Saccharomyces cerevisiae S288C: one gene and its partner. The protein of the gene in region 2 interacts with the protein of the main gene of each other region in a biochemical or structural test. Each region holds a gene or a part of one and is shown on either strand. Other genes may lie near its edges.

Region 1 (2,815 bases), on a different chromosome or scaffold from region 2:
AAAATTACCTTTATGATTATATGAAAAGGTTTCAACAAATGTGCAAAGAATGCCGGTATGCTTGGAACGAAGAGGTTGACTATGACCAGAAACTAGAAATTAGAAAAAAATTACAGGTATGGAGGGCAAAATTTGAGGAAATGATGGATAACGAGATACAAATATTACAAAAAAACATGGATATCATGTCAAAGTTTGGTCTCAGAAGTGAGTCCTATCTTACAGCAGCGAATCACGATACAAATACACAACCAAATAATATTCTTCCCATGACGTACCTACTAAAAAAGAAATGACAATAGACTTTTAGGGCTTTAAGAAGAGTCCACGAAAGCACTTCACTATCATAAAGACTATATGTACCTTGATCAAAGAAATTATTGTCAAGATTTTATAGTAAGGGTATTATTTTGAAAACGGAGTCACCTGTTCTTTTATATACACACTTATATCTATCTATATGTCGATGTACATTCTTAGAACAAAAATCTGTCGGACCTTTACTGCGGCATTGTGACTTGAACATGGAAGCTAACTCCCTTGGGAAAAGCTGTTTTAGGCCTATCTGTTGGCCTGTCGATAAAAGACGCCAAGCAAATGACCTCTTCAGATGAATAACCTAAGGAAGACAACACGCCTCTAATAATTCCCACAGGTATCTCCAAAAACGGTTCTATCATTTTTAACTCCTCGTTTTTTGCATCTTCCTCCAAAGAAAATGATTGAATAGGTCGATAGTCATAATCAAGAAGGTAAAAGGTTCCTCTGTGGTTTGTTTTTAAATTATCGATCTGTTTACCAAATATTTGTTTCCAGACATCCCTACAAATGAACTTCATTATTAATAGAAGGTCCATTTCCTTGAATTTTAAATTTGGGTTGTTAGAAAATATCAATAACTCTGACAGCTTCAATCCGATTTGAAACCCAATATTCCTCAGTCTTGCTAAAACCTTTTCTTTTTCCTCTTCATCCGCCTTATACAGCTCATGTATCAAGTTATGAGAACGTATGATATCTACTGTATGATGTTCCTCTATCTTCAGTCTCTTTATCATATTGTTGATGTTACCATTTTCGGAAGTTACATTGCTATCAGAACTGATAACATCGCCTGATATTTGCCTCTCAATGCCCATAGCTAGAGGAACCATCTCGTTCAACAGCATCTGATACACAGATTGACTTACTTTTGGTAATGAATTCTCAAAAATTTGATATTGCTGTTGTGCTCTTTGTTGTTCCGTTAGTGGACCTTGTGGAGAAGATTGGGGATGTCCTACATTATTACTATGTGTAGAGGACATAATTGTTTATCTTCCAACTTTATAACCGGTGTATGTTTTCTTTTATGGCATGAGGTCTTCACTCTCAGCTTGTGAGTGCATACCAGATTCCAAAATATTTAGCATTTTTGGTCTCAAAACGTTGACGCGAGTTTTTGAAAACGATACGCTGGTTCTACTAATGTGAAGAAAGCAAATTTCTTATAAGTAAATTTTGTTTCATGGTTTTTATCATGTAGTTTTATATGTATAAATACGTTAAATGACTGTGGTAGAAAAATAATACAAATGCTATAAAAAAGTTTAAAAACGACTACTTTAGTTCGCTTTTAAAGCTGCCTCATTTGAGAGACTTTCAAATAGACATCGCTTAGGAACCAGATCCTTTTCAGATATATTAGTACCTTTAACAACTTTAAAGGAACCGGTACCGATCGACATCGTTTGACCCAAAATAATACATTCAGAAACACCTTCAACAGCGTCCTTTTTCATATAAAAGGCCGCATCGAATAAATGGTCAGTTGTCTTTTCGAAGGAGGCTAGCTGCAAAACAGAGTCCCTCATTTTACTCAAACCAAATCTTGTAATACCCAACACTTCACCCTTATATGTCATCACATCACCTAATAGTTGGATATGACGTGGATCGACACTCATACCGTGATTACTCATGGTATAGTTAATTTCTCTAATAATGCTATATCTTGCAGCTTCGATACCCAAAACGGAAAAGACTTCTAAAACATGGTTAGTTGTAGTTCTAGAACCAATGACACCATCTGTACACATCACATCTCGCAGGCCGTAACCTTCAACCAATAATTCCCTCTTGCCGTCATCGCGAATATTAATAACCGCACGAGAAATATCAGGTAAACCTTTAACAACAACATCAGGAAGCGCACGACGTAACTGTTGCATTCGGTAAAAAACATCATTCTCACTTGGTTCTTTCGCAGATGTAGATATCGATTTTGCTTTGTACCCTTCTGGGAATACGTTGATTGCAATTCGATCTTTACCAATAATATTGACATCAGAGGCTTGTATTTTCAATTTAGAAGCCCTGGTTATAGCAACCGCGATATCTTCTATGGTCAACTCCAATTGTAGTTTATCAATCGTACCTAAATCAATACGCACTTGAATGAAAGACAAGTTGTCTTTGTAAACATCTTGGACATAGAAAGCTACGTCAGATAGCAGTGTCTTTTCCACTCTACCTTTAACAACCCTAGCAGCCCTTTCATCGTTATCATTTACTAATACAGCATTTATAATAGGTGTAGAAATGACCTTGGAAGCATTGATAATTTCTTTGATACGAGGAACACCTAATGTAACATTCATGGAAGCCACACCTGCAAAATGAAAGGTCTTCAATGTCATTTGTGTACCTGGTTCACCAATGGATTGAGCACCAATAGCACCAATAGCAGTACCTGGCTCCAGTCTTGCCTTACGATATTTGAAAAGAGCAATTTCTAAAAACTTTCTCACCGATTTTTCACTGATTCTATAAAGTT
Region 2 (7,309 bases):
GTCTGCCCATTCTGCTATTCTGTATACACCCGCAGAGTACTGCAATTTGACTGTATTACCAATGTCAGCAAATTTTCTGTCTTCGAAGAGTAAAAAATTGTACTTGGCGGATAATGCCTTTAGCGGCTTAACTGTGCCCTCCATGGAAAAATCAGTCAAGATATCCACATGTGTTTTTAGTAAACAAATTTTGGGACCTAATGCTTCAACTAACTCCAGTAATTCCTTGGTGGTACGAACATCCAATGAAGCACACAAGTTTGTTTGCTTTTCGTGCATGATATTAAATAGCTTGGCAGCAACAGGACTAGGATGAGTAGCAGCACGTTCCTTATATGTAGCTTTCGACATGATTTATCTTCGTTTCCTGCAGGTTTTTGTTCTGTGCAGTTGGGTTAAGAATACTGGGCAATTTCATGTTTCTTCAACACCACATATGCGTATATATACCAATCTAAGTCTGTGCTCCTTCCTTCGTTCTTCCTTCTGCTCGGAGATTACCGAATCAAAAAAATTTCAAAGAAACCGGAATCAAAAAAAAGAACAAAAAAAAAAAAGATGAATTGAAAAGCTTTATGGACCCTGAAACCACAGCCACATTAACCTTCTTTGATGGTCAAAACTTATCCTTCACCATAAATATGCCTCGCAAAAAAGGTAATTAACATATATAGAATTACATTATTTATGAAATATCATCACTATCTCTTAGCATCTTTAATCCTTTTCTACATCAGATAACTTCGGTTTGTTATCATCGTCTGTATTGTCATCAATTGGCGCAGTAGCCTCAATTTCAACGTCGTTTGACTCTGGTGTTTGTTCATGTGCAGATCCATGAGATGATGAACCGTTGCCCTTCTCAATACTCTTCTTATCAAGTATTAATTGCTGTAGCTTTTTTTCAATATCTGAGTCCTCTACAAATTTATTGAAAATACTCAAAATTTTCAAAAACGTTTCGTTGCTTGTCTTCCCTAGTTTCAAATAATGCAAATAAACATTTGAAATTATTGTTAATATGGATGAAATGAGGATTTTCTGGTCTTCCTGTGTTTCACTCGAATTTAGCAACGGTAGTAATCCGCCCTCAATTAATTCTTCTACCGATTCCATCTCATTAGTTGGAATTTCGATTTTATTGATGAGCGTCTGCTCTAGCGTTACCACTGCAAATTCACTTATCTGCTTACACGGATTGATGCATTGATGTGCCAAAGCTTGAATAATAGCGAATATCTCGTTTTTACGCAGATCGTTATTATCTTCCAGCAAGTGTGATGTTAGTTGAATGGATTTCAATGATAATTCGATCGATTTCTTGTATGGATTCTCCTTATCAATTTTATGACCACTTTCTGTCAATTTCTTGTATTCTATTTCCCAGTGATTTCCAACGGCACCCATTGATGAAATTTCATCTAATAGTCCTAGGACCCACATGAAGTTCTCATTTGTCAAAATATTGCTGTCTGTCTTGATCGATTCATTTAAATATTCAAAAATGCTCTCGCTCTGCTCTTTCATTGCTGTAACTTTTCTTAAAAATTTCCAAAAATTCTCATTTCCTAGTAAAAATCCTCTATAAAACTCTGATTCGGTCAATGAAAATAGTCTCTTCAAAAATTCCTTACCTTGATTAGTTGCAAAAAATTTTTGGGTAAAAATATCCCCCTTTTTTAACAGCTCATCGTTTATTAATTTGGACAAGTACTCCGTCTGATCCGCACATAACGAAATTAACAAAATTTTGTATGTTAGCATTCTACGAACAGTCCTTTTCGTGAGGCCTTTCGTGTGAGAAAGTTGGAAAACTTTTTGAAGTATGAACTTTCCTAATTCTTTCTCCTCTTTGCAAAATAGAAATAATGCAATAGTCAATTCGATGATAAATAAAAGTTCTGCTTCAAAATACCTGGAATTATCTGCGTTTTTCTCAGTTTTGGCGGAGTCTAGTAAAGTTTTTATTAAATCCGCTGTTATATTTGATTCATTTCCAAAGACAGAGGCGGCAATATTACTCGACTTTATGCACTCCATCGCTTTTTTTGAGGATTTGATTTCCTCTTCTGTGGGTTCTTCATCACCTTTTAAATAAGAAGCAAATGTTGATAAGAGACCTTTGCTTTCTTTGCTCTTGTTAATAGAAATTTCAGGAGATGGCTTAGGCAAGTTGCTTAATTTCAGTCTTTTTTGTAAATCAGGGAAAATATCAGGAGACAAAATCAAGTCTTCGTACAATGTTAGTATAATATTAACAATGTTTAACCATAATTCCTTGGAGAAAATTTTAGGATCTTTGTTCCTGCGAATAATCCGGAAAAAAACAACTGTATTTAGTTGACCCTTAAATGATCTACCAAATCTAACAGCATCTGTACTAACCGGGATCTCAGTGTTAGTGTCTTCGAATTTAATTTGCACCAGTGGCATTGGGCCATATTCAAAAGCTAAAGTTGAAAGTTCATCGTCATGGCTTGAATTAATCAAAGTAGTGCCCTTAGCAATGGAGTTTAGTATATCATTAAAGAGATCTTTGAAGTCAAAAAATGCGGAAATATAGGAACATTTGTCCAAACTTGTTATCATTCTGGTAGATATATGGTCATCAGATGCAACTACGTAAATGTTGAATAAAGTACTGACAATACTTGGGCCAACTTGTTTAAAAATTGCTCTATCAAAGTTCAAAAGCTCCAAGGGTGTTAATTTATCCATGACAGATTGTGTGTCTTTTTTTATTTCAGTTATAACAGTAGTTGAAGATATCAAGTTATTCCAAGCATCTTCAAACCACTTTTCGTTGCCGTGGTGCTCTTCAGGCATAACAATTTCTTTATCTCTGATTGAACAGTAAATTCTATCCAAATACCAGAATGGGAAGTCTTTGTGATTACAGCATCCCTTTAAGTTACCAGAGTAATCTTCAAATGACATGTGTTCCTTCACTTGAGGGTTATGTAGGTCAGTGTTCAACATAATAATTGAATAACTTAAAATGAAAACAGAATCAGCGTCTGGTTGAACAGTAGAAATGTCATCCTCCGCGTTGTCACTGATTTTGGATGGATCGTAATCTTGATTTTCACAATACGCAGACGAGAAGGCTTCGATGATTCTTTCAATTTGTTGCGATTCACCAGGCAACCTAAATTTCGTCAACAAAATTCTAATAGCTTCATCGACCCTTAACCCTGAAAAATCAAACAAACGAATATATTCATTCAACAAGCTTACTTTGTCCGGATGGCAAAGTAGCAAACCGATTGTTTTTTTATTCATACGGTTGTTATTATTGAAAAGAAACTCCGCAATATCTTTATCGGAGTCGGAAGCAATGAAACCTTTTTCTATTAACATCGGAATACCCTTTTTGGGCTTTTCATTGAATGCATTGGTACATTCAATAAACTCTGTTTTACGGTCCCTCTTTTTTAAGATTTCCATTTCATTCTTTTGCCTGCCAAATTCTTCTCTGTCAATGTCCTTCATGTGATCGAACATATCATCGACTAGGGAGACCAATCCCTCAAGGCAAATGGGTGGTACACTTTCTGTGGTAGTTAAGGCGGATTCTGGTAAGGCCAATTTAGTCAAAGCCTTCAAAAAGTTTATGGAAACGTCTGCCCTATCGAGATTACAATCGAAATTGATAAAAGTAGAAGTAAAAAAAGATGGCGACCTAGTCCATAAGATGGATATTTGCTCAATTAGAAGTTCCTTTATTATTGATGGCTTGTTCTTATTTTCAGAACTCGAGTTATTTGCGGTACCATCATCTAAAAGAATAGAAAATATTCTTGTTAGAGTGAGCTCGATCTGTAATTGTAAGTTGTTGCCCAATATAACAACTAGAGTAGTAAATAGCTGCAATGTAGCTTGAAGTAGTGATAATTTTGTAGTGTTCTGTATGATAAACAAAATGCTTTTGAAAATAGGATCTGATATCAGTGTAAAAAGCCGTGGGTATAGCTGCAATCGATCACCTGAAATTTCTAATGCCGTTTGAATTAACTCTAGGCCAAATATTCTAGTGGAGTATGAATGTTTTAATTCATTTTCTGGCGCAATCAATGATAGTAATAAGTTTAAATATTGCCTAACCACGGGCAATCCATAGTTATCATCAGCATACGCTTGGATCCTGGAATTTGATCTTGTTGTTTTTTGCACAATATCTAGTTGTTCGGCGCCATTTGTGCTCTTCTCTGAATGAATATGCTCTTCTTCAATGCCATCGTCCTCGCTAATAGCTTCCTCATTATTCACTTTCATGCCGATGGGATCTTCTTGACTTCCTTCTTCTTTGGATTCTACATTTGTGCCAATTGTATCGGCCTTCAATACATCATTTGTGTAACTTTCATCATTGATGTATATTTGATTCACATTAACAGGCTCAATAGTCTTTAGTTTTGAGAAAATCTTTACGGTAACGGCTATCATTGTTGATTGTGCAGCATTCCTAAGGACTTCGCTCCTTCTGTTATTACAAGCCAATGAAAGAATCGTTTGCAATACGTCATATATGATAGAGTTTGATAATAAATCTCCGTAAGGTGAGTCGACGATTGAACGCAGTAAAAACACGACTTTCAAAAGAACTGAATCATCAGAAAGTTGTTGAGATCCTTCAAACCTACAATGTGTTAGAGCATTTACCGTCGCCCTGTGTGCACCAATATAGTTTTGCGATGATTCATTGATGATATTCAAGGTAAAGAATTTCTGCAAAGAGTCCAGGGCCAGGGAAGTGATGTAACCAGAAATGGAACTTGTACTCACAATTAATAAAAATGGCTGCAATATGGTTAGTGAATCTATATTATCTAGATTTTTCAGTTTATTCAACATAAGTCTTAACTGAATGAATCCAGATAAAAATGGATCATTGTGCTTGTTGGTATTCAAATTGTTGAATGTGTGAGCCAAGTAGTCATCTTGATTGCTAAATATTTCACTTCCTCCCCCCAGCAAAGCGGCCACTCCAGATTGAGAGGTAAATTTAGAGTATTTCCGCATCGCTGTCGATAAATTAATGCATTCTTTGATTATGATAGTGACGGGATCTACCGTGACGAATTCCCTATCACTCATCTTTCCGCCTCTTCTCTTTCCCTTTAAAAGATTTTTTAGATACTAAATTAATCAGTTTATTGTCTATGGTTTACAAGCAGTGAAAGAATTTAAATTCAACGTAATATGTAGGTTGGTGTGTTTATTATTTAAACGCCAATGTAGGTGCTCTTTCGACACTTATTGAAGGTTCTCGCAATGAACCGCGTAGTATTTTTCAAGTCGGGTAATGAAATATATAAGAACACTTCTAATACTTTATGAAAATAAGTGCTAAATATGGTTTACCTCTTATGCCAATATAAACTATAAAAGAACTTAAAAACATCAAATCTTTAGCAGAGGAGTCCTTTCCGTTTGAAATTGTTGTTTATTACTTTATTTGCGGTTCGCCACACTGCCTAAAACCTGCAGTTTCCTGTAAATGTTGCTGGTATATTATCAGTATGAGCCGGCCGGATATTTCCCTTATTTAATGAAAGAAGTTTTTTTGAAGTCAACTTCTAGTGTTTGTCTTCCATTTTAACGATCAGGAGTCGTCATTCCAATTTTTTGCCTAGAAAAGATTCATGCTTTTAGGAAAATAGTGGAAAACCAAACATACATCAATTGACGCTTCAAGTATGGTACTTAAAAGATAATGTTAATATTTATTATCCTGTTAATTAGTCTTTCTTCGTCTTCTGAAAAATGTTACTTGGAATATTTAATGTTATGAAATTATGGTAATGGCCCTCCTGTTGTCTATTGAGGTGTCTGGGTGTGTTTGTCACATTCAATATACTGTTAAACCGCCACAAATTAATGTACTTCAGACAGATGTAGTAAAATAACAGCAAACAGGTGATGTAACTTATAAAAAATAATACACTAACATAATATCCATTAGATGGATAGCTTCAATTATATTCATGGAAAATATAAAAAAAATGGGACGGGAGGCGACAGAAGTATAAATCCATCCTCACATTCATCGTCTGGCAAGAATATCATTCTTTGTTTTGATGGAACAAGAGAAAATTTTGGACCTCAGCCATTCACTAATATTTTAAAATTGTACAACCTTCTTGAGAACGGTGATAGTTCTGAACAAATTTGTTATTACCAACCTGGAATTGGTTCAGTTGGATTTGACGCTGTTGTTGATGTCAGAAGACGGTTAACTATTTCTCACTTACAAAATTTATTAGATTCTATGTTCGCATTCAGTTTAGACAATCACATATGTTCTGCATATCTTTTTTTGATGAAGTATTTTGAACCAGGAGATAGAATTTATATGTTTGGCTTTTCTAGAGGAGCTTTTATTGCAAGAGTTCTTGCTGGAATGATTGAAAGAGTCGGACTTTTGAGTAAAGGTTTGGAAGAAATGGTTAAAATGGCATGGCAAATCTATGAAAAATGGGAATACGATTCGCAGCCTAATGAATTACAGTACACAAGTACCTTGGCTGAAGAATTCAAGAAAACATTCTCTAGGGATTACGAGGTAAAGATACATTTTCAAGGCTTATTCGATTCTGTGAACTCAGTTGGAATATTAAGGGACAGGTTGTTTCCTTGCACCCAGAGAAGCAATATCGTTGAGCATGTTCGACATTGCGTATCCTTGGATGAAAGACGTGGAAAATTCAAGCAGTTATGTTTCACTCCGATGCCGTACATTCCGAAACTATTTTCATTGACATATTGTAATCATATAACTGACCAGTGTTCGCCGGTGCCAACTTCTAATGCATTAATGCGTGATCTAACCCCGGAAAATCCTTTGATAAAATACACTTTAAAAAGTGGCGCACATTCTATTAGTAATCCTTCTCCACTCATTCCTGATAACCCTGGAAGGTTGTTATCGAGCAAAAGCGAGGAAACTACAGAGTTGCTGTTGGACCTGAACTCATTCTTAGAAGGTAATTCATACGCGAGAGATACAGAATGTTCAACAAGAGGAATTGAAGCCATTTTCCAACTTCAATCTATCCAAGGCAGCGGTACATCAAGTAGAATGACTATGACACCCGACTTGATTGAAAAATGGTTTCCAGGTGATCATTCTGACGTTGGTGGAGGTTGGGCGCCTGACTGTGAGACAGAAGAGAACTTGTCAAATTTAACGCTGCGATGGATTTTAGCAGAGGCAATCAAATTTGGTGTTAAATTCAAACCTGGTGCAATACATGATTTCGCTACCAAACACACTTCGATTGGATCTTTATTCGCAGACACACATGAT

Evidence for each region.
Region 1: the proteins of GEA2 (region 2) and TRS33 form a complex in vitro, tested with the Saccharomyces cerevisiae proteins (one study listed by BioGRID).

The regions. Positions count from the first base shown.
Region 1 is NC_001147.6:538,159-540,973, forward strand, and holds TRS33 (Trs33p), read right to left. Parts: upstream 1,308-2,815; coding exon 501-1,307; downstream 1-500. Other genes in the region: mitochondrial HMG-box protein CIM1, read left to right, coding at 1-296; DNA-directed RNA polymerase III core subunit RPO31, read right to left, coding at 1,605-2,815.
Region 2 is NC_001137.3:109,209-116,517, reverse strand, and holds GEA2 (Arf family guanine nucleotide exchange factor GEA2), read right to left. Parts: upstream 5,098-7,309; coding exon 718-5,097; downstream 1-717. Other genes in the region: URA3 (orotidine-5'-phosphate decarboxylase), read right to left, coding at 1-351; YEL023C (uncharacterized protein), read left to right, coding at 5,966-7,309. UniProt on the Saccharomyces cerevisiae protein: Activates the ARF proteins by exchanging bound GDP for free GTP. Plays a role in maintaining mitochondrial morphology. Stimulates DRS2 flippase activity.